Linked DNA regions of Alligator mississippiensis. The protein of the gene in region 1 purifies or fractionates together with the protein of each later gene. This does not show direct contact. Links are inferred from orthologs where the notes say so. Each region holds a gene or a part of one and is shown on either strand. Other genes may lie near its edges. The genes, in order: PSMB9 and PSME1.

The links.
Region 2: the proteins of PSMB9 (region 1) and PSME1 purify together in Homo sapiens (affinity purification with mass spectrometry; 3 studies listed by BioGRID and IntAct, counting the BioPlex papers as one, with this or other methods). This does not show direct contact. The link is inferred for Alligator mississippiensis from reciprocal best matches to the Homo sapiens genes PSMB9 and PSME1.

The regions. Positions count from the first base shown.
Region 1 is NC_081834.1:63,911,693-63,927,486, forward strand, and holds PSMB9 (proteasome subunit beta type-9), read left to right. Parts: upstream 1-9,501; 5' UTR 9,502-9,560; coding exon 9,561-9,611; intron 9,612-10,102; coding exon 10,103-10,170; intron 10,171-11,533; coding exon 11,534-11,665; intron 11,666-11,756; coding exon 11,757-11,886; intron 11,887-12,389; coding exon 12,390-12,531; coding exon of another isoform or gene 12,532-12,578; intron 12,579-12,655; coding exon 12,656-12,783; 3' UTR 12,784-12,834; downstream 12,835-15,794. UniProt on the Homo sapiens protein: The proteasome is a multicatalytic proteinase complex which is characterized by its ability to cleave peptides with Arg, Phe, Tyr, Leu, and Glu adjacent to the leaving group at neutral or slightly basic pH.
Region 2 is NC_081830.1:7,780,661-7,796,073, forward strand, and holds the start of PSME1 (proteasome activator complex subunit 1), read left to right. Parts: upstream 1-9,287; 5' UTR 9,288-9,384; coding exon 9,385-9,423; intron 9,424-9,690; coding exon 9,691-9,723; intron 9,724-10,299; coding exon 10,300-10,362; intron 10,363-10,945; coding exon 10,946-11,035; intron 11,036-11,171; coding exon 11,172-11,226; intron 11,227-11,581; coding exon 11,582-11,679; intron 11,680-13,188; coding exon 13,189-13,257; intron 13,258-13,334; coding exon 13,335-13,402; intron 13,403-15,413. Other genes in the region: DCAF11 (DDB1- and CUL4-associated factor 11), read left to right, coding at 13-159, 264-318, 2,902-2,970, 3,386-3,443, 3,842-4,027, 4,114-4,267, 4,658-4,810, 5,378-5,484 and 1 more; FITM1 (fat storage-inducing transmembrane protein 1), read left to right, coding at 6,716-6,948, 7,458-8,061. UniProt on the Homo sapiens protein: Implicated in immunoproteasome assembly and required for efficient antigen processing. The PA28 activator complex enhances the generation of class I binding peptides by altering the cleavage pattern of the proteasome.

The DNA.
Region 1 (15,794 bases):
TTTAGGGACTGTTACTGGGGGAGTGCTGGGTATTGGCTGTTTGGGGTTATACAAGCTGGGGATTTTAAAGGGGAATTAGATTAGGATTCGTTCTTTTTTTATTATTCCTTTGTTCCTTTAGGAACCCAGTAGTATCAACTTTCCCAGGTTTCTGGGTGGAGGTCTTGAGCCCCAAACCCCCCAAATTGGAGCCTGGCCCTTTTAGCATTATCCGAAGGATTACAAATAGGTTGGGCACAAGTGGGTCAAATGTGCAGGGCACTGAATGCCCTGTTTCGTGGAGAAAGGAGGTGCAGGGATGTAGACGAGTTCTACAAAGGTGGCAAAGTCTGAAGGGATTTTATCTCCGTGAAGAGAGGGAGAGAGGCAAAGAGAATGGCAGTCTGTGCTCCTTATGGAGGGAAGGCAGGTCTCCAGGATTTGTCTTGGGAGGAGAATTTTAGTGATGTTTGTCCCACAAAATGTTTCTCCCAAAGGATGTTACTTGTATCCTCTGCCAGGCCATCATGGACACCCTGCTGTGGGGAGGCCATCCAGCATTCCCAGTGCTCACAGGATAAGTCCAGCCACTGATGCTTGTTGTCCCGTGTTGAGGTGGTAAGACATGCACGTGTTTGCCAACTTTTTTTAAAGCCAGGGGGAGTCGGACTTACCATTTTTGCGCATCTGGTCCTGGCAATACTGATATGGGTGGCAATAATTGATCTAATGCTGTTGGATCCATCAGGCTTCACCTACAAGGGGCCTTTGGATACTGTAATAGCAGGCAGCTTGTAGCTCAAATGCAGTCTGGGGTGAGGGAGAATCAACTCCTTTACTTCCAGTTAGGAACCGGTTCTGTAAGCTTGAGTTTCCTCTGGAGTCTCTTCACATGGGATGAAGCCTCCTTTATGCAGGTTCAGATTAGCTGAATCTGGGCATCTTCAACCAGGGCATGTGGGCAGGGGAGGGCTGTGCTGTAGGAGAGAGGCACTGCACTTGATTTCTGCAGATGTCACGATCTGGGCTTTGTTGCTCTGTTCTGGCCCCGGATACCTGTAACCTCAGCCCCAGTGGGCCTAGTGTGGAACAGGGGGAAGCAGGCAGAGTCTCGGTTCCCAGCTCAAGGCAAATCTTTAATGTTAAAGTTCAAAGTACCACAAGATGCCAGCTTTGGGGAAGTCTGTCTCTCTTCGGTAGTTCTTTGAAGATGAAGATATTAGGAAAGTAATTGCCCACACCCAGCGGTGATGCGTAGGGAGTGCATGGTAGCGCACACTGTTGCACCCCCTGACAGCAGCGTTCCTGGGCAGGGGGTGGCAGGCGGGAGCACTGGTGCCCCTCCTGACAGTGCCGGCCAGGGAGTGCATCAGAAGAAGCAGTACCCCCGCAGCCAATCCTGCCAACCCAGAAGTGCCAGTGGCACACTGCTGCCAGTTGCAGGTCAGCTGGGTCGGTCGCAGGGGGACTCCCCCCCCCAGTTCCCCCCCACTCTGGAGGCACCAGTTGCCCATGCCCATGCCGGTTGCAGGCCCACTGGTGACTAATCAGTCCAATTGCAGGGAGGCAAATCCTGCTGCAACGGTTCCACGTGTATAGCTGATTGCTGCTAGATGAGGGTGTATCTTTCCTCCTACTCCTCTTCTCCTCGCTGCTGGCTCTGCACAGACATTTGAAAAAGGCTGTTGCCTTTTTGATTTGGAGCCAGGAAGAGAGAGGGGGAAAGGTATAAATGAGCCTTCTTGTTCTGTTCCCCTTTGACTCCCTGTGAATGAGAGGTGATCTTGGGAAGGGTGAAGCTGGTTTGTGACTTATTTCTCACTCTGCTTTTCTCTCTGCTTTCTGCTGTCCTTGTTTGAGCCTCCTTGGCTGTCAGGGTGCCTGTTCCTATGCCAGCCACTGCCTCAGCCCACGCCTCAACCCATGCTTCTCTGTGCCACAAGCTGAGCTGCTCCTTGGCCCTGTGGATCATCCCTTGGTTGCTATGGAGAGCTAGGACCATCCTGACCAGTCCCACGGCACAGTGTGAGATGGAGGCTGGATGGCAAAGTCCCTCTGGGACTGACTGACTGTTCTTTCCCCCCATCCCCAGCCTCGGTAGCTCTTTACACTCTGCAGTACCTCCTGTCGGCAGTGTCGAAATCTGGCCTGGGCCTGCCCAAGTTCACTATGCAGGGCTATGTGGACAGGAGCTCCTTGTGGGGTATGACAGCAAGGCCCAGCATATGCAAGCAGGCCCTGGATGCAAGCAGCCTCGCCCAAGCTCTGGGAAAACAAGAACTGTGTCCACAAGCTGCTGCAGGGCTGCTTCTGTGGCGAGGTCCACAGCCTCCTGCACCTCTACAGTGAGAGTCAGAGAGAGCTGGCCAGGTCCAGGACCAGAAGTGGGGAGAGCCTGCCATTCACCCGGAGCCTTGGTGGCACCCTGGAGTGGCCTGTGCCTCCCTTGCTTTGAGTCTATCCAAAGCAACAGCCAGCCCAAATCAGAGCCACGGCCTGTCCCATCCTGGCCCAGAGCAGGTCCCTTGGTTGGGGGGGACACCCCAGATCAGATGGTCCTTAGGGCTGAGTGCCCGGAGCACCGTGTAGCTGGGTCTGCACCAGCCCCTCTCCTCCTAGGGGGAGAGGGGCAGAGTCAGGGGTGACAGGTGCCCCCTGTGTCTGGAGGGGCACAATTTGTGGGTGGGCCCAGGGGTGGGCCAAAAGCCCCATATCCACTCCTACACTTCTGTGCTGTGGCTTAGTGTCCCCCCTCCCCCCCAACATGCCACCAGCCTGCACAACCAAAAAACTGTCCCATCCTGAGCAGTATTGGGGGCCAATCTCGGGGGGGGAGGGGGAATGCCCCCCTCTCATGCTCCTCTCACCAGTTGCCTGTGGAGAGTGGAAGTGTCCATTGCCATCCCAGGCAGGTCCAGGGACGGGGATACAACCAAGGCACTGCCAGGAGCAAAGCTAGTGCAGCACTGACCATCAGTGGGAGGTGTGTTGGGGAGAGCTATCTCCTCCCCCTCAGTGCAGGGAGTGACCCAGGCTGGAGCCGAAGCCGGCTCAGTACCTGCCCGATGTGCTGTTCTCAAAAGACCAAGAAGTTAAGCTTACAGAACAATAAAGTTTGCTTATTCAGAGAGCCCTCTTAGCCTGCCCCTCTGCTGGTCCAATACGGTTCCCTCCTCTCTCTGCTGGGCTAGTTTAATAACATATACTTAGGCAGAAAAGATTATTTGGGTAAATCCAATATCTTTTCTTAGACCAACTCAAATAGTTGGAAAAATTCTTTGCAAGCTTTTGGGCACAAACACCATTTGACAGGCTGAGGAAGCATCTGCAGTTGCTGTGTAACCTTCCTGGATGGAGTGATAAAGAATCAAGGAAGAGCACAGACCAACTGCAGAGACTTCCTCAGCCTAACTAAGGGTACTTGTATCCGAAAGTTTGCAAAGAAGAATTTTTCCAACTATTTGAGTTGGTCTAATGAAAGACATCAGATCTACCCAAAGAGCCTTGTCTGCCAATGTCCTTAGACCAACATGGCTACAACCTGTACCGCTGCTAACTTATACATAACACTCTTAAAAGTATCCACCCGAAAGCTTGCTTAAAAGTATCCATGCATCTTCTCCCTTTACATGTAAGGTGTCTCCGTATAATACTAACATTGGAAGTTTAGTTCAACCCATAGTTAAAGCACATTTTAACAGGTCTCTGTCAGTCTTGGTGTTGGCTTTTTAGCTCTAAGTGATTTTCTCAAATTCTCTGCATTCTCAATCCTTATTGGTTCAATTCTCTAGTTTCCTTGTTCAGATGTCTCTACTTTATTTGTCATTTTTCAATCTTCTTTGTAGTTTCTTCTTGCTTGCATGTTAACTCTGTTGTTAGCTCTGTTTCCTTTGGTGAATCTCATGATGCTGCTTCTGATGCTGCTTCTATTTTCCCCTTTATAAGCTGCAAGTGTCCTTCTGTTCCTTCTTAACACCTGTCCTTCTAGTGTGACTACTTTGTAGGATCTGGGACCACTTGATGGGAAACTAGTGCTTTTTGTTTCCACATTTGTCCAGCTGAAATAAGCACCATATCTTTGTTGTGCGCTTGTGGTAACTCCCTGGAACCCCTGTCACAGTACTGTTTTTGTTTGGGTTTGATGATTTTTTTAAATGTTTTCATGTTTTGTTTTTCACTCTGATGAGCACCATCCACAAGATTTGGCAGGCTGGTTTTGAGTTTCTTGTTAAACAACATCTGTGATGGGGACAATCCATATTTCATGGGCATTGCCCTGTAATTTAAGAGTGACAGGTAAACATCGGTGTGTGAATCTGTAGCTTTTTTCAATGATTTCTTCAGTATTTGTACTTCATTTTCCACCAGACCATCGGATCATGGGTATTTAGGACTTCAAGTGTTGTGACAGAATCCATATTTGTTTGCAACTCTTTAAAATCAAGACAATTGAACTGAGGTCTGTTGTCTGTTCTCACAACTTGTAGAATCCCACAAAAACATGTGATGTGAGTTATGACATGGGCTGCTGCTGTGCTTTCAAGCAATGCAATTTCAGAAGAATGAGAAGAATACTCCACCACTAATACATATTTTTTTCCCGCATGCATGAATAAGTCAATACCCACTTGATACCATGGAGTTACAGGCTCCTCCAAGACCATCATGGGCTCTTTTATTTGTGCTGATCTGTACTTTAGGCACATTGTACAAACCTTTATAGCATCTTTTATGTCATTATTTATGTTGGGCCAACATAAAGCACCCCTTGCTCTCCTTTTGCATTTTTCAGTGCCTAGATGCCCCTCATGTATTCTGTTTAACATGTCTTTCTTTAGCACTACTGGAACAATGAGTTGTGAGCCTTTGAACAAATTGCCAATACTGAGAGCTGTTCCTTGAACTGAGAGTAGGGGCTAGGTATATGTTTTCCAGGCTAAGCAGCACAAATTACTGTTATCACTCTTTGCAATGTGGTGTCCTGAGCAGTAGCTTCTGCAATTAGTGCCCACATGTTATCAGTGATAGGAATCACTCTTTTAATTAGATTAACATGTACTATGTCTGAGTCTGGCATTTTCCATTGTATCATATGCTCTGGACAACGTAACTGCAACTGACCATTGTTTCTTCAAGCAATTATCTTTGGCCCATGCTTGCCTGCTTCATAGTGATGTCCTCCTTTCTATATTGTTTATGTGTTGCCTTAGGGTTTTGTGGTCTTGTAATCCTGCCTTGTTCAGTGTGTTCTGTTTTTCCCCCAGCTTCTGCAGCCTGGCACTTGTTATCTCAGCCACTAGGCACATTCTAACTTACTTTCCCAAATTAAGCTCAGGACCCTCTAGCAGTATTTTCCTGAGGCTTGTATCCTTTGTACCCTATACTATTTGGTCTCTGATCATGGACTCTTTTAGATCTACAAAGTTGCATGTCTAGCTCAGCAGTCTAAGGTCACTGACAAATTCCTCTGTTGTCTCACATTCTTTCTGCTGTCTCATGTGGAAATGGTACTGTTCACAGGTTTCATTGTGTTTGGGTATGTGTAACAGAGAACCTGGGACTCTCTGTTCCTTTAAGAGGAAAAGCAGCCCAGCCAGGGAGCTCTGCAGGCTAGGCAGGGCACCACAGTTGCAGGTTGCCAGGGCAACAAGCTAATGGGTAATTACTATCAGGTACCTTTAGTTGGTCAGCTGACCGTAAGCAGGCAGGGCCCAGGGAACATATAAGCCTAAGGCTGGGGCTGGCAGGGAAGTCTATCTCTGGCTGCCACAAGGGGAGGAGCTCCTGTCCAGGGAAACCTGGGATACTGGGTTAGTCAAGGTTTATACTCTCATAGGGGCAGAAGGTTGCTACAGGTTGTTATTTATGTTATAGCCCAGGGGCTTGTGTTTATGTTGTGTTTATACGGTGGACCGGGATGAGGCTATAATGCGAGGAGGAGGCCTCATTGGCGCCAGTGAGGGCACAGCCACAGAGGGGCCGGAGAGCCCAGCACCAGTGAGGGCACAGCCACAGAGGGGCCAGGGGGCTGGCAGACAGGGGCAGGGGTCAGGTGACTGGAAAGGACAAACAAAGCTAGTGCCTCAAAGCCAGATCTGGTTCAGTGGGTCTAGGCTAGAAGGCCTAGCTAGAGAAAAGGGGCAGAGGCTGAGGAGGCTGAAGCCCCAACAGGGGGCAACATACCTGTAACACCTGCAAGGCATGGGGCATGGTAAAAGGGAGGTTTTGGAGCCATGCAATTAGCCCTCAAGGCTTTGGGTACAGTTGACTGCAGTGGCCCAGCCAAAGGCCTGTGACTGTAGAGGTCCAGCCAGGAACCTGTTACCAGTGGGACTGAGGCCTTGCAAAGGGCCATGGGCAGCTTCCCTATTTAGTTATATAACGTCAAGGTGCGGTGGGCGAGATAGAAGGGCACCCTAGGGGCGGAGCAGGGCACAGTCGCGGAGCCACCAAAGGACATCATGGCCACCCCTGGGATCCTGACCTGTTACAATATACAGTATTGCTCAAACTTTTTTGTTCATTTGCCATAGCTTTTCTGTTCTTCTGACAGTTGTAGGCTCTTATAAAGAGACAGAACTTCTGGGCCTGCTATATTAAAAAAAAAAAAAATAGCTACCTTGAGAAGATCTTGCTTCTCTGCAGCTCCACTGGCCATCCTATGTATGGTGAAGCTCTGCTTAAATTTCTTCCCGTTTTCTGCTGCATCGCTGGACAGCTTTATCTCCCCTGGAAGTCTAAGAAGGTTCATTTTTCTATCTTTCTTCACACCTCCCTCCTGGTACCATATGTTGTTCTCCAAAGACCAAGGAGTTAAACTTATACAACAATAAAGCCTGTTTATTCAGAGAGCCCTGGTTTCCTCCTCTCTCTGCTGGGCAAGTGTAACAACTTGTACATAACACTTTTAAAGGTATCTACACACCCCAACCTGCTACATCTCCCATGTCTCATTCCCACAGCTGAACGAAGCCGGGAGGAACCTGCACCACTTCCCAAGGGGCCACAGAAAAGGAGAGAGAGCAGCACAGAGCAAGTGCTGCAGCCCATTCTCTCCTTCCAAGCATTTCACTTTAGGCATGATTTTGCAAAATCAAAGTGCCTTGCTCTGAGACAGCAAATAGCTCATGTGTGACATTAAAGATGCTTGGCTGTGGGTGGGCAGGGTGGAGGCAGGGGGAGTTGTGGGCATTGCTTGTTGTGGGTTCTGAACATTGCTTGTTTGTAGCAAAAGAAAAAAAAAGGCAGAGGTAAGGTGCTCTTGGAGAGGAGTCTTAGAGCAGGGAAATGAGCAGGACTTGCACCAAATCAGTGCCCTGGAGCCCCCTTCTCTCTGTTTGCTGCTCTGGTTTGCCCAGCGCACAGCGCCTGCTCTCTGCATCCTGGGAGTGACACCAGGACAAGGCTGTGTCCACAGGGAGACGTGTATCAGTAGCACCATCAGGGCATGGGCCAAACCAGGATAAAGGGAGCTGTTTTTATTATAACTGATGCCCAGGTGGCTGAGCACCCCCTGATGTTCTGGATGCCAGACTCCACCGGGGCATCAACTGCTTGGTGCTGGGTGTGCAGAGGAGGCCTCAGCTGGGCAGGGGCAGCCCCAGATGCTCTGACATTTTGCACTGATCTCAGGTCCGATGGACACAACCTTCTTTCCTCCTTTCCCTTTTCCTTTCCTTCTGTTTGTGGGTGGGGAGGGGTGTGGTGTGGTAGGGCTGGGTGGAGAAAGTTTAAGATTGTAAAATCTTCTTTAGAGAATAAGCATGCACATCTGGCAGCTTGGGGCTATGTCAGTATATGCACTCTTGGTTTTCTCTCTCCCCATCCTGTTTGGAGGCTTCTCTCTGGGGCAGGGCTGGGGCTGGGGCTGGACACAGAGTAGGGCTGGGGGCAGTAGGAGGTGCTGGGGACTGGAGCTCTCTCTAGGCAGCACACCTGTCCCACCTCATCCCACCCTGGTGAGGCCTGTTCTGAGCCTCCTGCTGGCTGCAGCCCAGCCACGTCCTGCACCCAGACTGGACACATGCTCCAAGGTCCCTGAGTGCCAGGAAAATGCCAGTCTGCTGGCAGTGGTGTTTGTGTGAAGACAGGACCCCTCCTGCTGCTGCAGCTGTCCTGGACCCCTGGGTTGTATTCTAGTGGTGGGACGCAGCAGGTCAGGGAGCTTGGAATAGGGGCGCTGGGAGGCAGGACACCTGGCTTCTCTCCCAGCTCTGAGCACAACGTGGGGGTCTGGTGGGTTACAGCAGGGCCAGGGGGGGCATTCCCAGTGCAGATAGACCTACCAGACCTGGGCCAGAATAGAGATCGACCCCAACAGCAACCACAACCACACCTGCTATGTGGAGCACGTGAGCCTGGACGTTGGATCCCTGAGAGTGCCCTGGACAAGCGTGAGTGACCCTGCACAGGGGGGAGGGGGCCGAGGCTTGAGTGGCGGGAGAGACTGACTGACCCCTGTGGCTTTCACCTTTACATCGAAGCCAACGCGGCTGCTTTTATTTCTTATTTCATGCCTCACAGTCGCTGCCGAGATGCAGCTTCTCTGCTGGAAAAGAAGGCAAACTTAAAAAATGAGTGACGAATAAGGGTGTAGGTTGTAGTAGTTGTGTTGGTCTAAGGACACCGGCAGACAAGGTTCTTCGGATGAATCTAATGTCTTTTATTAGACCAACTCAAATAGTTGGGAAAAACATTTCTTACCAACGTTTTGGGTTTAAAAACCCCTCCACCAGGCTGAGGAAGCCTCTGCAGCTGGTGTGCGCTCTTCTGGGATGGAGTGAATTCATCATCCCATCCTCAGCCTGGCAAAGGGTTTCTAAACTGAAAGCTTGCTAAGAATTGCTGTCCCAAATATTTAAGTTGGTCTAATAAAAGAGATCAGATTCACCCAAAGAGCCTGGTCTGCCAAGTGAAGAATAGGGCACGTGGGAAAGTTCGTGTTTGAGTTGTAAGTACCGCTGCTAGGCACAGAAGATAAAATGTCTCCATTTACAATACCCGACCCCACGTTTGTCTTTTAAATGGCATGTGTCTCGCTCCCGTTTGTCCTGGGGTGGGGTGGGGGGGGGGAGTTGAGTGGGGCCCCGGGCACTGCGGGGGACGTGGCGGGCACGGCGGGGCGCTGGGCACCTTCTGCCGCAGCGGGGGCAGGGCTCGGTCCCTTCTCCCAGCCCCACCCCTGTGGCAGAGCCCGAGGGCAGCCCGCGGGGCCGGGAGGGTCGTGTCGTGTCGTGTCGTGTCGTGTTGTGTGGAGCCGGGCAGCGGGCGGGCCGCCGGCCTGGGCCAGTCTCCGCTGGGGCTCGTGTCCCCGGAGCCCGCGGCCGGCCGACGGCGCGGCCCGGAGCAGCTAGACGGCCCGCGCGGGGAAGGAGGGCCGCGGCCCCGAGCCCACGCGTGTCCCGCCCCGTCCCCACCCCCCGCCGCGTGGAGCCTCCCCGCGTCACGGGGTGTGGGGCAGGGCCAAGCCCGCAGGTTGCTCGCTCCGGGGGCGGGGCGGGGCGGGGCGGGGCGGGGCGGGCGGTGCGCGGCGCTGTCCAGCCAGCGCTAGCTCGGCTCTGCCGGCCCGGCCCGGCCGCACCATGGCCGGCTGCGGGGCGCCGTGCGGGGCGGGCGCGGAGGTCCGCACCGGGGTGAGTAGGGGCCGGGATGGGCCGGGGGGGGGGGCGGGGGGGTGCTGCTTCACCTGCCAGGGGAGCCCCCTCCCCCCCTCCCCACGGGGCACCCCCCCCCCGGGAGCTGCGGGCGCGGGGCGCTGCGGGGGACGCGGGTCTGTCGGTCCGTCCCGTCCCGTCCCGTCGCGTCCCGCCCCAGCTCCCCGCGCGGCCCCGCCGCCGTCGCTTTCGCTTTCCCTTCCCGGGCGGCAGCGGGGGGGCCGGGGGCCTCGGCCCGCGCGGCCCGGGCCCGGGCGCTGTCCAGCACCAGCCGCCCGCGGCCCCCCGCCCCCCGCGGCCCGGCCCGGCCCCTGGGCAGCGCGTGGGGGGGGCGGGGCGGGACATGCCCACGGGGCCACCCCATCCCACCGCACCCCGCTCCCCTCCCCTCCCCTCCCCTCCCCGGCCGGGCCGGGCCGGGCCGGGCAGAGCCCCCTGCCCTGACCCCGGCCCGGCCCATCCTTCCCCAGACGACCATCATGGCGGTGGAGTTCGCCGGCGGGGTCGTGGTGGGCTCCGACTCCCGCGTGTCGGCCGGGTAAGTGCCCTGCCGGGCATGGCCGGGGCAGTGGGACGGGGGGACAGGGGAGGGCGGGGGGTGCTGCGGTGCCAACACCCTGGTGCCCGCAGGCTGCAGGGCCTGGCAGGGCGCCCCATGTGCAGTCTGGGGCTGCCCAGGCGTGTTGGCGCCCATGGCAGGCAGCAGCACCCCGGCAGTGCGCGGGGCCGAGTGCGTCCCGCCCGGCGCAGCGGGAGCGCTGCCGTCCACTCGGGCACGCGGCACGGCCGGGCTCAGACACGACGGGCGCTCCGGGGAAGCGGGCTGCGGTGTCGGTCTGGGCAAGGCGGAGCACAGGCCGGGCGCAGGACACGGGGCGCGGGGCACAGGGCGCGGGCTGGAGTCAGCCTCGTCCTGGATTGCAGCCCGGGAAAGCGGGACTCGGATTTCGTGCTGCCGAGACGGCTCTCCGTGGAAGGGCCACGGGCCGCGGGGCACCGAGGGGAGCTGGTGGGCATGGATGAGCCCTGGCCCCAGAGGGCGCAGGCAGGGCGAGGGGCTTGAGGCCCTGCTCTCCGGCCACAGCCTGTCCGCAGCGGTCCGTCCCCATGCCGGGGGGCTGGAGGGCGTGAGGCCAATGGCAGGGGTGGTGGGGCCCCTCAGGCAGCCATTTTGTATCCTGTCCCCCGGAGACCTCCACAAAATGGCTGCTGGTGCCAGAGCAGGACCATGGACAAGATGGAGCAGGGGCTGTAGCCTGATCTCCAGAGCCAGGGAGGGCCAGGCCGTCACCATGGGCTATATGCTAGATGGCCCCCTCCACCCTGTCACCTGCCTTCTGCAGGGGGTGGGAGAAAGCTGTCTGTGACGTGCGGCTCAGGGGCACCGGGCTGGTCATTCCTCCCACCAATGCCACCTTGGTCGGGGCCGATCCCGCCGGCTGCTGAGCTCACCCGCCTCCTCCCAGGGGCGGAATAGCCCCAGCACTGCTGTGCTCCTCCCCCGGTCCCACCCCACGGGGTGCAAGAATGGTAGTTTCTCAAGTTTTGGGGGTTGGGGGGGGGGAGTGTCCTGCTTCCAGGTGTCATTCAGGGGAGAGCAAGGACCAAGTCCTGGGAGCAGGTGCTTATATTTTTCCCCCACCTAAGGGAAATACAAAAGAAAGGCAGTTCCTGAATTTTGTTTCAGAGCTGGGAACTGGGCATTTCCTTTGGAGGGAGGGAGGGTCTGGGGGACAGACTGCGCCAGAGAAGGGGGCATTGGGATGCGCTCTAGGAAAGGTGGGTGCCAAGGTTTTGGGGGGTGAGGACAGGCTCTGAGTGTTATTACAGAGCTCATCTGGGGGCAGGCCAGGCTGGGGCTGGGGGCGTTTGCACTCATGTTTGCCCGGGTCTCTCCCCAGGGAGGCTGTGGTGAACCGGGTCTTTGACAAGCTGGCTCCACTACACAAGCGCATCTACTGTGCCCTCTCCGGCTCCGCGGCCGACGCTCAGGCCATCGCTGACATGGTGCATTACCACCTGGAGCTGCACAGGTAGGGGTGGGCAGAGCAGGGCTGGACCCAGCAGGATGGGATCCATGTACCCCTGTTGCCCCATTCCAGCTCTGGTGCCTTCCCCCCGCAGCATGGACATGGATGATCCACCTCTGGTCCTGGCAGCTGCCACCCTGGTGAGGGGCATCAGCTACAAGTACAAAGAAGAGCTCTCAGCCCATCTCATGGTAGCCGGTTGGGACCACAGGAAGGGAGGGCAGGTGAGGCTGGGACAGGGCTGAGGGGGTGCGTGGAGGAGTCTCGGTGCAGCTCAGACCCCCAGATGGGATTGGGCCCATGCGTGACCAGAAGCTGCGCAGACTGGGATCAGGGCCTCTGTTGTGCGCACATGGTCCCTCCCCAGTTCTTTGCAGTTCTGCAGAGCAGCAAAATAGAGGGGATGGTGAGAGACCTGAGCCCAGAGAGGGGCAAGGCTAAGCCCTGGGTCAGCCAGCAGGGCTGGGCACAGACTCCCTCCCTGCTGACACATCCATGATCCATCCCCTCCCCCCCAACATCGCTCTCCCAGCGCCCCACACCTGGGCAGCAGCTGGCAGCTGGAAGCAAGACCTCAAGGGCTGGGAGGCGGATCCAAGACACCTGCCAGAGCTGGGCCCAGGCACTCGGCATGTCGGGCACAAGGGTAGCTGTGACTGTGGCTGAGTCCCTGATGCTGTGCTACTGGCTGCAGATAGACTGGAGTCACCTCTCACTTCTCCCACAGGTGTACGGCACGCTGGGGGGCATGCTGACCCGCCAGCCCTTTGCCATCGGGGGCTCTGGCAGCACCTACATCTATGGCTATGTGGATGCTGCCTACAAGCCAGGGATGAAGCTTGAGGAGTGTCAGCAGTTCACCAAGAACGGTACCTGCTCTGGCCACGGGTTACTGTGGCCTGGCTCAGGGTGTGGGGTAAGTGAAGAGGCAGGAGTCCTCCTCCTCCAAGGGGGTGGTTAACTGACCCTTCATTTCCCTCCCTCTCCCCCCAGCCATAGCCCTGGCCATGAGCCGGGACGGCTCCAGTGGGGGGGTCATCTATCTCGTGACCATCACCAAGGCAGGCGCGGAGGAGCAGGTGTTCCTGGGCGACGACATCCCCAAGTTCTACGACGAGTGACCTCTGTCCCGCGCTGCCTGGCACTCCCAGCAATAAAACTTGGAAAGAGGAGCAGAGCCGCATGTGCCCATCTGTGCTCAGACTCCAGGGCTGGGCCTGGCTGGCAGGAATCAGCCCTGAGCAAGGAGATGTTAGCAGAAGGGATTCATAGCCTGGTGCCCTCGAGCCCTGCACTATGGACAGCTGCCTCTTAGCCCACCCTGTAGCAGGCCTGGCCCAGGCATGGGGTGATGGGCCGGAGGGGTGATACAGCATTTAGCCTGTGGTGATGGCCCGGCCCTCCCTTGGCCTGGACACCAGGCTGCAGCACCTGCTCCATCTTGTCCATGGTCCCGCCCTGGTGCAGCTATTTTGTGCCCTGCAGCCTTCACGGGATAGAGCACAAATTGACCACCTGAGCGGACCCTTCCTCACCACCACCACTACTGCTATTGGGCTCATACTCCCCAGTCCCCCTGGCATGGGGATGAGTTGCTGGGGAGAGGCCGTGGGGCCATGACTGGAAAGCAGGGCCTCAACCCCCTTGCGCCATCCACCCCCTCCAAGGAACAGGGCTCAGCAGTGCCTGCCCACTCCCCAGTGTGCCCCATGGAGCACAGCCCCTGGCACCGGGACAAGGGTTACACGACAGCTATTGGGCAGCTTGCTCCTGTCCATGGCTCAGAGATAGGGGGTCTGTGATTAACACTGAATTAACACTCTGTTTGCACCAATGCCTGGCCCAGTGGGGTACAAGCAGGGAAGAGGCTGGGTCCCCCCGCTGCCATGGACAGGCTCGCAGTGCTGGGTCCCATCACCTGGTCAGGGCCTTTTCCTCTGGGCCAGTAGTCACCTCTGGCAGGTCCTGCTGAGGCAGCAGCTCCCTTTGCCACCCCGGGCAGTGCTTTCCCTCCTCTCTCAGGGTTTCTGGGAAGTGGCAGAGTCCCTGACTGGCCACGCCTATTTTCCTGGTATTTCCAGTGCAGGCACATGGTCACAGGGTGACTGAGCCCCTGGGCTGGCACAGGCTCCAGCAGGCATCACCTGTCCCAACACAGGCTGGCACCAGAGCAGGAGGGAGGGGTCCCTACATAACCTGGGTGGGTGGGACACCCAACAGAAGCCCCCACAGCCCAGGGGGTTGGGTTAGGGTAGTGAAAAGCATGGACCTACAGGAGTGGAGGTAGGACAAAGGACCATCACTTGCACTTAGACCTGGGGTTGGGGCTAGGGCTAGGGCCAGGCTTAGGGTTCAGGTTAAAGCTAGAACAAAATATGGCCCACAAGCCAGATCTGTCCCACAGAGGGATTTTAACCAGTCCATGGCAGGGGGTAGCCTGGGTCATGGGGGGCGGCCTGGGCCTTGGTGTGTGCAGTCAGCCCTGCTACCCCCAGGTGCACAGTGGGCTGGGGCAATGTGGCGGCTGGACCTGCTTCCCAGCAGCCCTGGTGGCAGTGGCTCCTTCCAGCTGCCACCGCGTGACTTGGCTGTGCCCCCGGGCTCCTTGGCCTGTCTCGTCTGACCCGCACCCAGCGCAGGGGGTGGGACCTGGGTGGGCAGGGCGTGCAGGATGGGGCTGTGTGCAGGCAGGGTGCAGTGTTCAGGAGCGGGATGGGTGGGTAAGGCCAGGATCACGGGGTGGGATCATGAAGCAGCGACAGCATAAGGCTGTGACCGGGGCCAGGGCACAGACATGATTCATTGCCCACATGCCTCTGCGACAGGCACCGGGTCTATGTGCAGGGCCATAGGGGGAACAGATCATGACTGCCCCATGCTGCCATCACCCTACGATCCCAAGGTCTCCACTGAGACTGGCCAGCCCCATGCGGGCATAGCAGGCCAGGTGGGTGGGATGTGGCCTCTTAGGGAGTGTTGGTGAGCTGTTGCTTGGGACAGGGCTGCTGATCCAGCCCATTACAGCTCTCCAAAACTCCTTCAGTGCCCCGTGGGCCCAAATAATTGCCCACCCCCGGCTTAGGCTGAGGGACTTGCTGCCTGTGCCTGAGGGCTTAGCCACCGTGCACCCTGCCCCAGCCCTGCTGTGTAACCCCTCGCAACCCCCTTCCCCCACAGCTCCTGCCCCAGTGGGGGTTGTGGGAACATGGGGCTGGGTCTCCGTGGGGAAAGGTGAGAGGCAGGGGCCTGGCGGAGCCTGCCTGGTCCATATTACCCCCTCCCTGCCCCCCACCTGGCACCCACTGCCTTCACCTGCCCCCTGACTCTGGCCCCCCACCCAAACTACCACTGAACCTGCTAAACACCCCCCCGACTCCTGTCCTCCTGGGGTTGCTGCCTCCCACACCTCTTTTGGGACCCCCTCCCTTTGCCCCCTGCCCCCTTGGCACTGCCTCTCACACAAGCCTGCCCCCTCAACAGCTGCCTCATGGGACAGGCAGGAGACAGCTCCCCCGCCTTGAGAAGAGGGGAGCAAAAGGGGGTTAATGCCCCCTGGCCCCACTGACCTGCCTGGGTGATTTGGGGGCTGCCCTGGTGTCTCCAGGCCCCCAGGGCTGCTCCCTACACTACTGCTCTCTGGGTGCCAGTGACACCCAGAAATGTGCCCACCCCGAGCAAGGTCTGTGCACGGGGAGCTGTGCGCACCCCATCGGGCACCAGGCCCTGAGAGCTTTCCGCCTGCCCAGACGGAGGAGGAGAAACATGCACGGGCTGGGAGCCAGGTTCCCATCTCACTGGGGAGGGGAGTGGGGGCTGGGGCCTAAAGCAGGGAACTGATGATGAGTCTCTGCCGCTGACTCACCGCGTGCCCCAGGGACATGCCCTTTGCTCCCCCCACCTCAGTTTCCCCCTCTGGGGCCAGGATGCAGCTCTTCCTGCCTCTCCCCATCCCAGAACCAGTGCTGGACCAGCTCTCCCAGCTCCCACAGCCCTGCTAGCAGCCCCCAGCCCTGGGACAGCCACTCCCCCCAACCCCAGTGCACAGTCCCTACCCCAGCCCTGCTCCCCCAGGGGAGTTTCCACTGGAAGTCCCTGCCTGCCCCAGCCCTGCTGCCCTGCTCCCCCTGGGGGA
Region 2 (15,413 bases), on another chromosome or scaffold:
TCCCTCCCTCAGACCAAACGATCCGCCTGTATGACTGCCGCTACGGAGCCTTCCGGAAGTTCCGGAGCATCAAGGCGCGGGACGTGGGCTGGAGCATCTTGGATGTGGCCTTCACCCCCGATGGTGGCCACTTCCTCTACTCCAGCTGGTCTGACTACAGTGAGTGTGGCCCATCGGGGCCCCATAGGCCCCACCATCACCATCGCCCCTACCCCCCAGATGGGTGGTGCTTACCCCAGCCCCTGTTTTGTTTTCCCACCCAGTTCACATCTGTAACATCTATGGGGATGGAGACAACCACACAGCGCTGGACCTGAGGTACTGGAGGGGTAGTCATCTTGGATTGATATGACTGGGCAGGGGGTATGGGAGCAGTGAGCTTGGGCTGAGGAAAGGAAGGATTGAGACCAGCAGAGTAAGGACCCTAGGCTTCCAAAAAGCAGACTTTGACTCACTCAGGGAACTCATGGGCAGGATCCCCTGGGAAGACAGGCTGAGGGGGAGAGGAGTGCAGGAGACTTGGCTGTACTTGAAAGAAACCTTCCTGAGGGCGTAGGAACAAACCATCCCAACGTGCAGGAGAGCAGCAAGTATGGCAGAAGGCCAGCTTGGCTTGGTAGGGAACTCTTCAGTAAGCTAAATCACAAAGAGGAAGTTTATAAGATGTAGAAACTTGGGCAAACAACTAGGGAGGAGTGTAAGAGTATTGCTTGGGCATGCAGAGATGAAATCAGGAAGGCCAAAGTGCAACTGGAGTTGCAGCTAGCAAGGACATGGAGGGAAACAAGAAGGGTTTCTACAAATATGTCAGCAACAAAAGGAAAATTGGGAATAATGTGGGTCCCTTGAACAGGGGAGGCAGCCTAGTGAAAGAGCATGCGGAAAAGGTAATTGATGCCTTCTTCACCTCGGTCTTCACAAACAAGGTCAGCTCCCAGACTACTACACTGGGCAGGCACAGTTTAGGGAGGAGGTGAGCACCCTTCAGTAGTGAAAGAGAAGGTCGGGGACTGTTTGGAAAAGCTGGACATGTACAAGTCCATGGGATCAGATGGGATGCACCCAAGGGTGCTGAGGGAGTTGGCTGATATGATTGCAGAGCTGCTGGCCATTATCTTTGAACACTTGTGGCAATTGGAAGAGGTCCTGGACAGTTGGAAAAGGGCAAATCTAGTGCCAATCTTTAAGAAAAGGAAGGAGAAGGATCTGGGGAAATACAGACCAATCAGCCTCACCTCAGTCCCTGGATAAATCATGGAGCAGATCCTCAAGCAATTCATTTCTAAGCACCTGAAGGAGAAGGTGATTAGGAACAGTCAGCACAGATCCACCAGGGGCAAGTAATGCCTGACCAACCTGATTGCCTTCTGTGATGAGATGACTGGCTCTGTGGATATGGGGAGACCAGTGGACGTAACATACCTTGACTTCAGCAAGGCTTCTGATATGGTCTCCCATTGAATTCTTGCAAACAAGCTGAGGAAGTCCAGATTGGATGGATGGACTGTATGGTGGATAGAAAACTGGTTGGATTGTTAGGCTCAAAGGGTAATAGTAATCAATAGTTTGATTTCAAGCTGGCAGCTGGTATCAAGGGGAGTGTCCCAGGGGTCAGTCCTAGGGCTGGTCTTGTTCAGTATCTTCATCAACAAGCTGGAAGATGGCAAAGTGCACACTTAGCAAGTTTGCAGATGACACCAAGCTGGGGCGGTGTACGCTGGAATGTAGGGCTAGGGCTCAGAGTGACCTAGACAAATTGGAGGATTGGGCCAAAATTAATGTCATGAGGTTCAACAAGGATAAGTGCAAAGTCCTGCGCTTAGGATGAAACAGTCCCATGCACTGATATAGTCTGGGGACTGACTGGCTGGGCAGCAGCTCTGCAGAAAAGGACCTGGGGGTTACAGTGGACGATAAGCTGAATATGAGCCAGCAGTGTACCCTTGTAGCCAAGAAGGTTAACGGCATCCTGGCCTGCATTGCATTAGTAGGAGTGATTCTTCCCCTCTCCTGGGTGCTGGTGAGGCCACATCTGGAGTCCTGTGTCCAGTTTTGGCCCCTCCACTGCAGAAAGGATGCACACACATTGGAGAAAGTCCAGTGGAGGGCAACAAAAATGGCTCAGGGACTGGGGGACATGACTTATGAGGAGAGGCTAGAGGAACTGGGCTTATTTAATCTGGAAAAGAGAAGACTGAGGGGAGGGATTTAATAGCAGCCTTCAACCACCTACAGGGTGGGCAGCAGCCTTCAAAGAGGATGCAGCTGGACTGTTCTCAGTGGTGGCAGATGACAGAACAAGGAGCAATGGGCTCCAGTTGCAGCAAGGAAAGTTGAGGTTAGATTTTGGGGAAAAATTTTCTCACAAAGACTATAGTAAAAGACTGGAACAGACTACCCAGAGAGGTTGTGGAATCTTCATCCTTGGAGTTTTTTGGGGACGATCCTACTTTGAGCAGGGAGTTGGGCTAGATGTGACCTGAGGTACCTTCCAACCCTAACTTTCTATGATTCTAACTGGGAGAAGGCTGGTGGGAATGGCCTTCTTGGGCTGAGGTATCGTGGGAATAGGAGGGGACGGACATCTTGGGCTGAGGTGACTGGGGGTCTGGGAGGGAACAGAATTGGGCTGAGGGGGGGTGGCCATCTTGGGCTGAGGTGACTAGGGCGGTCCTTGAGGGGGTGGCCGTCTTGGGCTGAGGTGACTAGGGCGGTCCTTGAGGGGGTGGCCGTCTTGGGCTGAGGTGACTAGGGCGGTCCTTGAGGGGGTAACCGTCTTGGGCTGAAGTGACTTGGGGGGGGGGGGGGGGGTCACCATCTTGGTCTGAGGTAACCAGATGGGCGGGCATCTTGGTCAGGGGGGTTGAGGAGGTGCTATGTCTAATTGTTCCTCTCCCTCAGGCCGGATGAGAGACGATTTGCTGTCTTCTCTCTCACGGTATCCTCAGATGGACGGGAGGTCCTCGGGGGGTAAGTGACCATCTCACCCGGTTGGAGTCGGTCCAGTCCTGCCTGGTGCCAGACGGCTCCTAGCCATGATGCAGTGAAACCCAAACTTCTCAGATAACACTAGGGGATCTGGGGACTCCATGTTCCAGCACCACACAGTGCCACTTGGTTCTTACCTACAATGCCATGTGCCATGGTCCTCTTGAGGCAACATGGCTGAGAGCAGAGAGGATTCTGACATAGTGTAGCCCACACAAGGCAGTGCTGTCTGGTTCTTGCAACCACAAAGTGAGCAGAAACAGGAAATGTGGTCTGGTTCTCTCCCACAATGTCATGGAAACCTAGATGCATCTCTGCTGAGAGCAGAGAGGATTCTGGGATAGCTCCGGCCAAATATCTCCAGTCCCCTTCCTGACGAGTCCATCTTCCTCTCCAGAGCCAATGACGGTTGTGTGTACGTCTTCGACCGTGAGCAGAACAGGCGGACTCTCAAGGTATATAGCCCAGGTGGTGGCAAGGGCAGAGAGGATTCTGGGAGAGGTGGGTTACCCGCAGTGCCCAGCAGGTAGTGGCAGTGGGTGCCCTCCAGCTGGAACACAGAGGGCTCTAGGAAGGGGATACCCATGATACCAAATTAGTAGGTGAGGACAGAGGATTTAGGGATGTCACTTGGAGTACCAAGCCCTAGGACAAGAGCGGAAAGGATTTGGGGTGGGCGATGTGCCTCCTCCTTTGGCATAGTAGATACAAGAGGTGCTCTCAGGCTAAAGTAGAGAGGATTCTAGGAGGTAAATTGCCTTTGACCTCTTGGCATTCTGGGAAATGGGTGCCTTCAGGTGAGAGCAGAGAAGATTCTGGGAGAATACCCACAATGCCCCCACTTCCCCCCCAGATCGAGTCACATGAAGATGATGTGAATGCCGTGGCCTTTGCGGACGCCAGCTCCCACATCCTCTTTTCGGGGGGTGACGATGCCATCTGTAAAGTGTGGGATCGGCGCACTATGCGAGAGGACGACCCTAAGCCTGTGGGCATGTTGGCTGGGCACCAGGATGGCATCACCTTCATCGACAGCAAGGTGAGACCTGCGGGGGCGGCGGGGTGCTAGATAAAAATGGGAGAAGCAGGGGTTGGTACAGGACCAGCGTGATCTCCTTTGCCTAGGGGGATGCCCGGTACCTGATCTCCAACTCCAAAGACCAGACCATCAAGCTGTGGGACATCCGGAGGTTCTCGGGGCGTGAGGCCATGGAGGCATCCCGCCAAGCCGTCACCCAGCAGAACTGGGACTACCGGTGGCAGCAAGTGCCCAAAAGAGGTCAGGAGCAGGGGGACAGGAAGTGGAAGATGAGCCTACTTGTTGGAGGACAGTTAGCCTGAGTTGGAGAATAGGATGTGGAATGGCTGGGGAGGACAGGATGGAAAACCAGGTGGGGGTGTGGCAAAAAACAGGAAGAGAGGTCGCTGCGGGATTAGTCGGGACAGGAAGTAGGTTGTCCAAGAGGTGGATGTTGGGTGGTGGAGACAGGAAGTGGAGTGCAGGTAGGGTGGAGAAGGGGGCAGGAAGGATGCAGCGTAAGAGGAGATTCCGTGGGCAAATCAGGAAGTCCCGCCTCCTGCCAAGAGGGTCAAAGTGGGAAGTCCTGCCTCCCCAGGTAGGAAGTCCCACCTCTGCAGGGCAGGCTCTAATGCAGCTGGTCTCCGGCAGCTTGGCGCAAGGGGAAGCTTCCGGGCGACAGCTCCCTGATGACCTACAGGGGCCACGGGGTGCTGCACACCCTGATTCGCTGCCGCTTCTCCCCACCCTACAGCACCGGCAGCCAATACATTTACAGCGGCTGCTCCACGGGCAAGGTGGTGGGTGAGTTGCTTGGGGGTGGGGCTACACTGGAATGTGGGCAGAACTAGAAATGGGTGGGGCAGTGGGGGGGGACAGAGGCGTGGCCAAATTGGGGTGGAATTGGGAGCCAGGGGGCCATGAAGTAAACTGGGCCAGTGCCTGCCTGATGATGAGGTAAGGGCAGAGCCCTTGCTTCTCCCCCAGCAACCAGTGTAAAAGGGGAGGGGCTTCAGGATGCAAGGGCGGGGCTATGGGGCAGGCAGTACCATTGTGTCCTGGGGGCAGGGTTGGGCTGTACCATTGTGTCCAAACTCAATTGTGTCCTAGTGCTTTGGACTACCACTGGGTCCAGAGGTGGGGGGCAATGGGCAGGATGGCCCTCCCATTGGGCCAGGCCCAGACGAACTGTTCCTGTGCTCCCAGTGCGAGGGGGGGGGGAGTTCCATTATGAAGTTTCATTCCAATTGGGGGCTTGGGGCAACAGGGAGGGAGTGGCACATACCACTGTTGGGGGGGGTTGGGAAATACCATTCTGCACAGCTAACGGGGGGGGAAAGTAATCATTTATTCCAACGCGGTCCCCCCCAGTTTACAGCCTCCTGACAGGGCGCATCATCAAGAAGCTGACCAATCACAAGGCCTGCGTGCGGGACGTCAGCTGGCACCCCTATGAGGAGAAGATTGTGAGCAGCTCGGTGAGTGGGTCAGGATCCAGCAGGGGGGAGGAGGGGTGGGGTGCAGATCTATGGCCTGGCAATGCTGAAGAGGGGGGAGGCATTCTCCAGTTGCGTCCAGCAGGGGGTGCTCTAATTCCCCCCACCCCTTCTTCCTGCAGTGGGACGGGAGCCTGCGTGTCTGGGAGCACCGCCAGGCTGAGTACTACGAGGATGACCTCAGGGACCCGGGGAGCCCCCCCGTGGCCCCCAAGCCCTCCCGGGCCACGCCCCGCTCCTCCAGCCAATAGTGCACCTCAATCGTGGCCCCCCCCCCACAGGAGAGATTGGCGATGCAATCCAGCCCCCCCCCTCCTCACTAGGGACAGGGACCCTTGGGTGGGGCTTCCCCCTTTGTGGAGCCAGGGCCTTGCTGTTCCTGGGCAGAGGCGGGTGGTGCGGGGCTGGCAGGTGAGGGCTCCCTGCCCGTGGCGGGGATGCTGGCTTAGGAGTGGGGCAGGGGGCTTTGCCCTCCTGACAGTGCTAGTTCTGACAGAGGGGGGAGGGCGCTGGCTGGCTCCGGGCAGGCGGAGGGGAGCCAGATCTAGGTCCTCTCCTCTGCCCGTCCTTGACCTCCCCTCCCCTCCCACATCCTGAACTCCCGTCAGCTGTTCCCCCCCCCCCCGCTGTGGGGGAGGGGTGGTCTCTGGGTTCGGGTGGGTCTTTTGTGAGTCCCTGGCTTTGCCTTGCCTCTCTGATTTGGGGGGCTGGTATTTTGGGGGGGGGGCTTCTGTTTTCCCCCCCTCCATGGAGAAGTGGGGCTGTATATTCTCTGCTAGTGGGGGGATGCCCCCTTGTTTTTTAAAGGCTGGGAAGTGTGTGGGGGTGTCTCCCATATTCTCAGTCCCATGCGGGTCCCCCGTGCATGGAAGGGCCAGGCATGGGGGACTTGGAGGGGCTCTGTGCCCCCCCTTCTGCCCTGTGCTGCACGGGGGCTGTCTGTGTCACCTGCTGTCTATGTTGAGAATAAACCTCTCTAGACGTGTCTCTGTGCCCCTTGATTTGGGGGGGAAGCCCCTCTTCCCCCGACCCAGTCTGCAGGGGATAATACTCTCTACTTACCCCCCCAGATTCCCTTTGCCCCCCTCCAGCCTTCTTGTCTGCACCCCCTCACAGGCCCCTGGGATCAGCCAGCAGCTGCCACCTGTCACTTTTAGGCCAGGCCCCGCAGCTGTCTTGGGCCAGGCCAGGCTGTGCCCGTCAGTGTGGTGCCATGGGGGCCTGGGAGCTGTGGGGGCTGGCGCGGCGGGCACTGGGGCTGGCAGGGGGCCTGGGTGCAGGGCTGGTGCAGCTGGCTGGGGAGCAGGCCGCCTGGGTGCTGGTGCTGCCGGGAACACGCCGGGCCTATCATGCCGGGCTCGCGCTGCTGGTGCTGCTGTCGCCCCTGCTGCGGCTGTACGTTAGCCCCCATGCCGTCTTCGCCAACCCCCGCAACTTCTTCCATGTGTGAGTCCCCTGGCAGGGGGCTTCTGGGCTGGGAGCAGGGAGGGGGGGAGTGGGCTTTAGAGGTCTTGAGATGGCAAGGGAGGATCCTCGGTGGGGGTTCATGGGGGTGGGTGGAGTTTGGGTGCTGGGTTGGGTGGATAGGGGGGAACTGGGGGCTCTGAGGGTCATGGGAGGGACGGCAGTCTGTATCTGGGAAGGGAGGGGAGGGAACTGCGTGAGGGGACATCTGAGGTGGGACTTGGGGTTGGGGCTCAGGGCAGAGTGAGTGGGAGGGCAGGAGCTACTGGGGGCAGGATCTGTAGGGTGTTGGGGACTGGGCTTGAGGTCTGGGGGGGCTTTGAGATCTCAAGGGGTGGGGGAACAGGGATGGACGGGGATGGGGTTGTGTGGACAGGTCCAGGGCATGGGGCATTTGGGGGTAGAGGGAGATGAGTGCAGGAGGGCGCTGGAGCAGGGGTGGGTGACAGAGCCTAGGTGCCCCCCTCACCTCTGCCTCCTCCTGTCCACAGGAAACTGGTAGCGTCGGCCTGGGGCTGGACCAGCCTGCTGGTGGCGGGGCTGCTGCTGCCGCTGGCAGTAGGCGCAGCAGGACGGGTGGGTGCAGCGCTGCGCCCACTGTGCCGACTGGCTGTGGGCGCAGGGTTCTGGGTGGGCGCCCGCGCTGCCTTTGCCCTGGCCGAGGACCTGACGGGCCACTGCTATGACCCGGTGCCTGGTGGGCGGTTGGTGAACGCGCTGCCCTCCAAGGCAGCCTGCAGCGCAGGCGGGCACCGCTGGACTGGCTTTGCCCCCTCGGCGCCTGCCTTCCTGCTCACCTTCTGCCCACTGCTGGTGCTGGAGGAGGCAGGCGTGTTTGGGCGCTGCCTGGCTCGGGGGCTGCGGGCGGGGGCCGCGCTCCATGCCCTCTTCCTATTCAATGTGGCACTGCTGCTACTGTGGCCAGCCCTGCTGGTGGCCACGCTGCTGTGGCAGCCGCCCTATGCCCCCCATGCTGCTGGTACTGCCACTGCCACCCTCTGCTGGGCCCTGGCGTACCGTGGCTGGTACCGCTGCCGCTGGTCCCCTGGCCGCCCTGGCACTGGCCTCTTCCCCCTGGCCGCCGAGTGCGCCTGAGGGATCCTGGCATGTGGGGTGGGGAGGGGGGTGGGGTGCGGGGGACCTGGATATCCAGTAGAAAGAGTGCATGGGGTGGCCTCTGCGGTACATGCAGAGATGGGAGGGGGTGGGAAATCTCAGTGTCTAGAGAACAGCTGGAGAAGAAGATGGGTGATGCCAACCTTGGTGTCTGGGAGAAGGTGGGAGGTGAGAATCTGGGTTTTCGGGAGGAGGAGAGGGTGGGGCCATCTCTGGGCAATGTGTGGAAATGCAAACATCTGGGAGGAGGCCACCTCTGGAGAACATCTGGAGAAGGTGGGAACCCAGGCATCTGGGGTGGGCCAGGCCTGGTGAACACCTGGAGAAGCTCTGCACAGCAATGGGCAATGGACTCATCCTAAGCTCAGTCAGGAACCCAGGCATCCAGGAGAGGGGAAATCAGCTGGAGAGTCTTGTGCAGGGGCGTCTCCCCCTGCCCTGGAGTGTGGACTTGTCTGGGCTGAGGAACCGCGGCATCTGGGACAGCCTGCCCCTGGCCATCGCTAGGAGACGACTGAGGGGTCCATGTGTCCTCGGCACCTTCTGGGGCCAACAGGCGTGGAGAAGGGACCCAAGCGTCTGGGAGACCACCGGTCAATTGACGCCAGACTACTTTTGTCATGCGTGCAGCTTGTTCCCACCTTTGGATGTGGGATGGGAACCGGCTCGTTCAGGAGAGCCAGGGACACCAGCTGGAGAAGGGCAGGGTCCCCGTCTGCCCCAGCAGCGATGTGGGGTGTAGCCCCAGGTGCCCAAGCAGACGCCCAGGCTGAGAACTGAGGTGCTGGGGCACGAATAAAGGTGGCCTCTGAGTCTGGCGTTGCCTGCCTGGTGTTTGAAGTGGGGCCGGGGGGGCACCCAGGTGCCTGGGGGAAGTGGAGGGGCTTCTGGTGGGGGGGAACCAATGGGAGAGGGGGCCCAGGGCTCTGGGAGGGGGAGAGGCAGAAAACCCAGGCATCAGAGACCAGTCTGAAACCCCCACCCCCACTGAGGTCACTGCTGGGGAAAGCTCACAGCCCTTGTCTCGCCCCACCCTGAGGGCACTGGTGGGGAAAGTTTGCAGTCCTGCCACCCCTCCTCCCCCACCACCACTGCCAGCACTGCTGGGGGAAGCTCACAGTCCCCCCCTCTCCCCCCACCCCATCCTGAGGGCACTGCTGAAGGAAGTTTGCAGCCTTTGGCTGCCGTCCAAGACCGGAAATCCCCGGCCTGCTGCTTTCGATTTCACTTGTCACGCTCACTGCTGCGGTACCACGCGCCTGTGCCTGGACTGGCCCCACACCCCCCCGGTGCCCCCCGGCCATGGCCGCCCTCCGCCTGCCCCCCGCCAGCCAGGCCCAGGTGAGGGGGGGCGGGTGGGGAGGGCAGGGGCCTAGCCGGGCTGAGGCCTGGCTGGAGTAGCTGAGGCCTAGCCAGGGTATTTGGGGCCTGGCTGGGCCTGTGGGCCCCCAGCGGTGTGGTGGGGATGGGGTGGGAGGGAAGTGGCTGGGAGCCCCCCAGACCCCCCGCTGGAGATGGAGGGGCTGTTGCTGGCGAAGGCAGCACAGGCTGGGCTGGGGGGAGTTTTGGGGGGGCCCTGGTGACCCCCCCCCATTGTGCTCTACCCAGGTGGATGCCTTCCGCAGCCAGCTGTGTGCTGAGGTGAGATGCTGCGAGCTTCCCCTAGCAGTGCCCTTGGGGCTGGGGGAGGGGCAGGGGCTGCAAGCTTCTCCCAACACTGCCCTTGGGATGGTGGGGCAGGGGATGTGAGCTTCCCCCAGCAGTGCCCTCAGGGTGTGGCGGGGCAGCAGTGGCTGTGAGCTTCCCCCAATGGTATCCTCAGGACGCGGGGGGTGGGCAGGGGCTGTGAGCTTCCTCTGGCAGTGCCCACAGGGTGGAGGGGCAGAGGCTGTGAGCTTCCCCCAGCAGTGCCCTCGGGATGGGGGGGGCAGGGGCTGTGAGCTTCCCCCAGCAATGCCCTCGGGGAGCAGGGGGGTGAGGGCCTGCGAGCTTCCCTCAGCAGTGCCCTCGGGGGGGGGGCAGTAGGGACTGCAGGCTTCCTCCAACAGCGTCCTTAGGGGGGTGGGGGCAGGGGTTGTGAGCTTCCTCTAGCAGTGCCCTCGGGGAAGGGGGGGGGGAAGGCCTGCGAGCTTCCCTCAGCAGTGCCCTCGGGATGGGTGGGCTGGGGCAAAGGCTGCGAGCTGTTCTCAGGTGCTCCGTCCTGTTCCCCCACCCCAGACTGAGCAGATGGTGGGGAGTCGGTTCCCAGAGCAGATCGCAGAGTTGGACGCTCTCCTCAAGGTGGATTGGGGGCGCAGGACATGGGGGAGGCTAGAAATGGGGGGCTCGGGGGCATCTGGGCAGGGTGGGTGTGCTAAGGGAATAGGGAGAGACTGCAGGCCTGGAGGATTTGGAGGGTCCAGGTCCTGCTGGGGGGCCCAGGGCATGGGATGGTGGTGGGGGGAACAAGAGATGGGTTGGGATTGAGGGGGTGGAGGGGGGGGGCCTGAGGTATTTGAGGGGGCTGAGGATTGTGGAGTGTGCTGAGGGGGTTGCAGTCAGGGGGAAGGTGTAGGGGACCTGAAGAGACTGGGGCTGGAGGGAGGGGTGTGGGGGCACTAAAGAAGGCTTTGGGGAGCCAAGGGGTGTTGGGGATTGAGTGGGGGCTGGGAGGTGTGGGGGGTCAGGGAGGGGGGTTGGGGTGTCTGTAGAGAGTTGGGGCTTGTGTCTGGTGGCAGGAGGGAGTGGGGGCTGGGAGGGGCATGGGGGGTGCTGGGGGTATCTGGGAGTTGAGGGAGGGAGGAGCTGAGCTGGGGGGATCGGGCAAGGGGTCTCTGTGGAGTCAGGGTTCAGGGCACCCACTGATCTCTCCACCCGACACCAGGACCCCGTGCTAAACCTTGTAGACCCTGGAGCACTGCGGGCTGAGCTGGACATCCCCCTGCCCGACCCCGAACGGGACGCCCAGCGCCAGGTGAGGGCTGGGGGGAGCTGGGGAGGTGTGCGTTGCCCAGCACACAGGGATATCTGGGGTGGGGGGTCCAGGCTGTGTGGCGGCTGCAGGGAGAACCCAAGGGTCTGAGAGGGTCTCTTATCTCCCCCCCCCACAGAAGGAGAAGAAGGAGAAGGAGAAGGGGGATGACAAGAAGGACGATGATGACAAAGGTGGGGCTGTGGGGGGCCATCAGGGGGATGGGGGTTGTGGAAAATGTGAAGGGGTCATGGGGGGTTGGAAGGCTGTGGGGGGCTGGGGGTAGGAATTGCGTGGGTCGGAAGGGGCTGGTGGTTGTTGAAAGGTGGGAGGGCCTGGTTGGGGCATTATGGGGCTGGGGGCATATAGAGGGTCCACAGGGGCTGGGGGGTGTCAGGCACTGGGTGGTGTGGGGAGGGCCGGGTGGTCACGGGGACCCCAGGGTGGGTGCTGGGGGGGTGGGGGGGGCACTGGGGGGGCATGGGGGTCTCAGGGTGGTGTTGGAGGGGCTGGGAGGCCACAGAGCAGGTATAACCCCAGTGCCGGCAGGGCCTCCGTGCGGCCCAGTGAGCAGCAACGCCGTGGTGCTGGGCCTGGTGCAGCGCGTCACCCCCCGGTTGCAGCGTGCCAAGGAGGAGCTGGGGCTGGTGAGTGACACGGCAGTGATGCAAACCCTTGCACCGCATAACTGCAACCTGCACCGCCACTGCTGTGCCCGGGGTGGGGGGCTGGGGCTGGACATGCAACTCCACCACCACATGAGACCACACAGCCATACGCCATTATCATATGGCTGTATGCACGTCACACCACACTGCCACTAAAGACCACCGCAACTATGTCACCACATGGCTGAACACCACTACACAATCATGCAACACAACTGCACACTGCTACACAACCATAGAGCTATGCACCCCAGGGCAGGGCGCCAGGGAAGAGCTGGGAGTGGTAGGTCACACTGTACAGTTATGCGACCACACAATACCGCACTGCTATGCTACACCACTACGCAGCCATGCTCCACTGCACACCATGACCTCACACTGCTGCACAACACCATAGCCATATGCCATGCTGTCATGCAGCACTCTAGGGAGGAGCTGGGGCTGATGAGTGGTGCACAACACAGCAGCCACACAACACTGTACACCACAACACAGCTGCACACTGCACACCATTCCACAACTGGAGGCTATTACACAACTTTACACACCGCTACAGAACCACACAATGCTACACACCACTACACAACTGCACACTGCTCTGCAACAAGACAATACCGTGCACCACTACATGCTTGCACACTTATATACAGCTGCACACTGCTACCCACCACAACCATGAGCTGCTACACAATACCACAAGTGCACCACTACTGCAGCACACTGAGGGGAGCTAGGACTGGTGAGTGATTCACAACACCACTAAAAACCACCACAACCACATTGCTAAACACTACTAGACAGTCACACAACACAGCTGCACACTGCTACACAACCACACAGCTATGCACCTCTACATTGCTATACAACTGAACACAACACTGCAGTCATACAGCTACATACACACCACAGTGTTACACCACCTCTGTAAGGCACCAGGGAGGATCTGGGGTTGGCAAATGTCACACTGCTACACAACTACACACCCCTATACAACACCACACACACCAACACCACCGCAGGGTGCCATAGAGGGCCTAAGGCTGGTGAGTACCACACTGCTACATAACCACACACTACGCATACAGCATCACAACCCCACATCTACACAACTGCACTGCCACTGCAATGCCCCCAGGAATTGGGGTTAGTGAGTGTGGCCCAACTGTACAATACTGCAACTACACAGCTATGCAACAGCACACAAGAACACACTACTGCAGCTACACAACCCTGCAACCATGCTATAACTATACATAGCACTACTGCTGTGTCTACCCTGGAGACCACACTGAGCTATACAATTGCACAGCAACCACATGGCAGTGGGATATGTGTACACACACACACACACACACACACACACACACACATATACAGAACTCTAGCATCCAGGACATGGATACGCAACCATGCAACCAAGGTATCCGGGATACACCCCCCCACCCTCCCCCCAGGCATCCAAGACCATGCAACCCCCTCTCCCCACAGGTCTCCGTGTGGGTTCAACTCCAGGTGCCCCGAATTGAGGATGGCAATAATTTTGGGGTCGCTGTGCAGGTGAGCCCTCCCACTGCCCCTACACCCCCCACTGCCCCCCAGCCCAGCTGCTCACCCCGTCTCCCCTCCCCTCCCAGGAGAAAGTCTTTGAGCTCATGACGGCATCTCGCACCAAGCTGGAGGGATTCCAGACCCACATCTCCAAGTAAGCGCCTGCACTGGGGTCCCCCCCAAACAACCCCACCCTAGCACACCCCACTCCCCCTTCAGCAGCCCATGGGGCCCCAGCATCCGTCCAACCCAGTGCACCCCAGAAATGCTCTGTTGGGGACTGTTTAGTCCCATGGCTTTTTGCAACCTCAGAGCTTGTTCTGGTGGAGGGGGGCAGCGGTTGCATTTCATGAAGCCCTTGCCACATGTTACACATATCATGCACTTCACTGGTGAATCATGCAATAAATTTTAGTCTACCCACATGTGCGTGGTAATTATAGGAACATAAGAACTGCCATTGCTGGGTCAGACCATAGGTCCAGCTTGCCCCGTCTCCTGTATTACACGGAGAGCAAGCTGGATCCAACCAGCATTTTTTCCCCCGATTTACTTCTCTCACTCACAGCATTTAAAGCCTAGGATGTTGTGATTCAGAGGCTGTGCCCCTCACTCTTATGCTCAATAGCTACCGATGCCCCTTTCCTCCAGGAATGTGTCCCATCCCTTTGCAAATCAGGCTAAAACATCAGCTTCCCTCATATCCTGTGGCAGCCTGTTCCGTTCTTTCATTCCGCACTGGGTAAAAAAGAATGTCCTAGTGTTTGTTTTAAACTCACTGCCTGCTAGTTTCATGTTGTGACCCCCCAGTTCTTGCCTAGTGAGAGACAGGCAGTCCTAGGGGCATTTGTACACATCGTGGTTTTTGCCCTTCCTTGCACTGCAATGGCACGACTGTTTGCATGAGCGGGTTTTCTGGACGCTTTCTTTCTGGTGCATTAGAATAAAACTCTTCGTGACTTTCTCTTCACCATTTAGTATACGGTAAACTGCTCCTGTCCTTATTGAGCATCTCTTTGCTAAACTAAAATGGCCTGGCCTCGTTAGTCTGTTCTCATATGGAACCTGTCCCTACCACTGATCGTCCCCATTGCCCTTCTCTGGACCTTCTTCAGTCCTTCCGTATCCTCTCTGAGGCCTGGGGACCAGACCTGGGCACAGTATAGCAGGTGTGGACGCACCGTAGATTTCTAAGGGGGCATTGAGGTACTTTCTGTTTCGTTGATGATTCTCTTTTTAATCACCCCTAACGTTTGCCTCGTTGACAGCTGCTGAGTACAGAGTTGTTTGGCAAACTGTCCACGGTGACTCCCAGATCTTTCCTGGGTGGTAACAGCTAAGGCAGAGCCCATCAGAGTGTGTAGGGAGAGTTTGGGGTATTTTTGTCCATGTGCATCGCTTATCTACATTGAATTTCATCCACCATTTAGTTCCCCATTTGCTCAGTCGTGCCAGCTCCTTCCGTAGTTGCTCATGGTCCACCTTGGTCTTTACCACTATGAATAATCTCGTCAGCTGCAAATTGGGCCACCTTGCACTGAATTTTTGTTTTGCTGCTTGCAAACCCTGGATCACTGCCAGTCATGTTTGTCTTGAATGAGGCACAGCTGTGCACGGAAAATACATGCTATTTGTGACTGGTGTGATTAATAACACCACCCCAAGAAGAGCATTATTACAGTCCTCAGCATCACCATGATTATGATTAAGTAATAATCATCACTAGAATATAGTTGTGATAATAATATATGGTATTATAATATATTACCAAACACTAATTATAATAGAGTTGTTATAATACAAGCTATTACTATATTATTACTATTATCATTATAGCTTTTATATTGTATAATAATACTTAACTATATTTATCACATAGCTGTTAGAATATAACAATAGCATAAATATTTAATTATTATAAGATAGTTACATTATGATAACATCTCACAAAGTACATAAGCGAGCACGAGCATGTGTAACAAAATGGTCAAATGTAGTGTACAAACACAACAATATAATAATAATGCTAATATAGTCATAATTATTATATGGTTGTTATAACATAACATAACCGTGGCATTGTTATTAAATGATACATACAATTATAATGTAGTTATTGTGATATCATAAGAGGTAGCATTATATTATTAGTATTATAATATAGA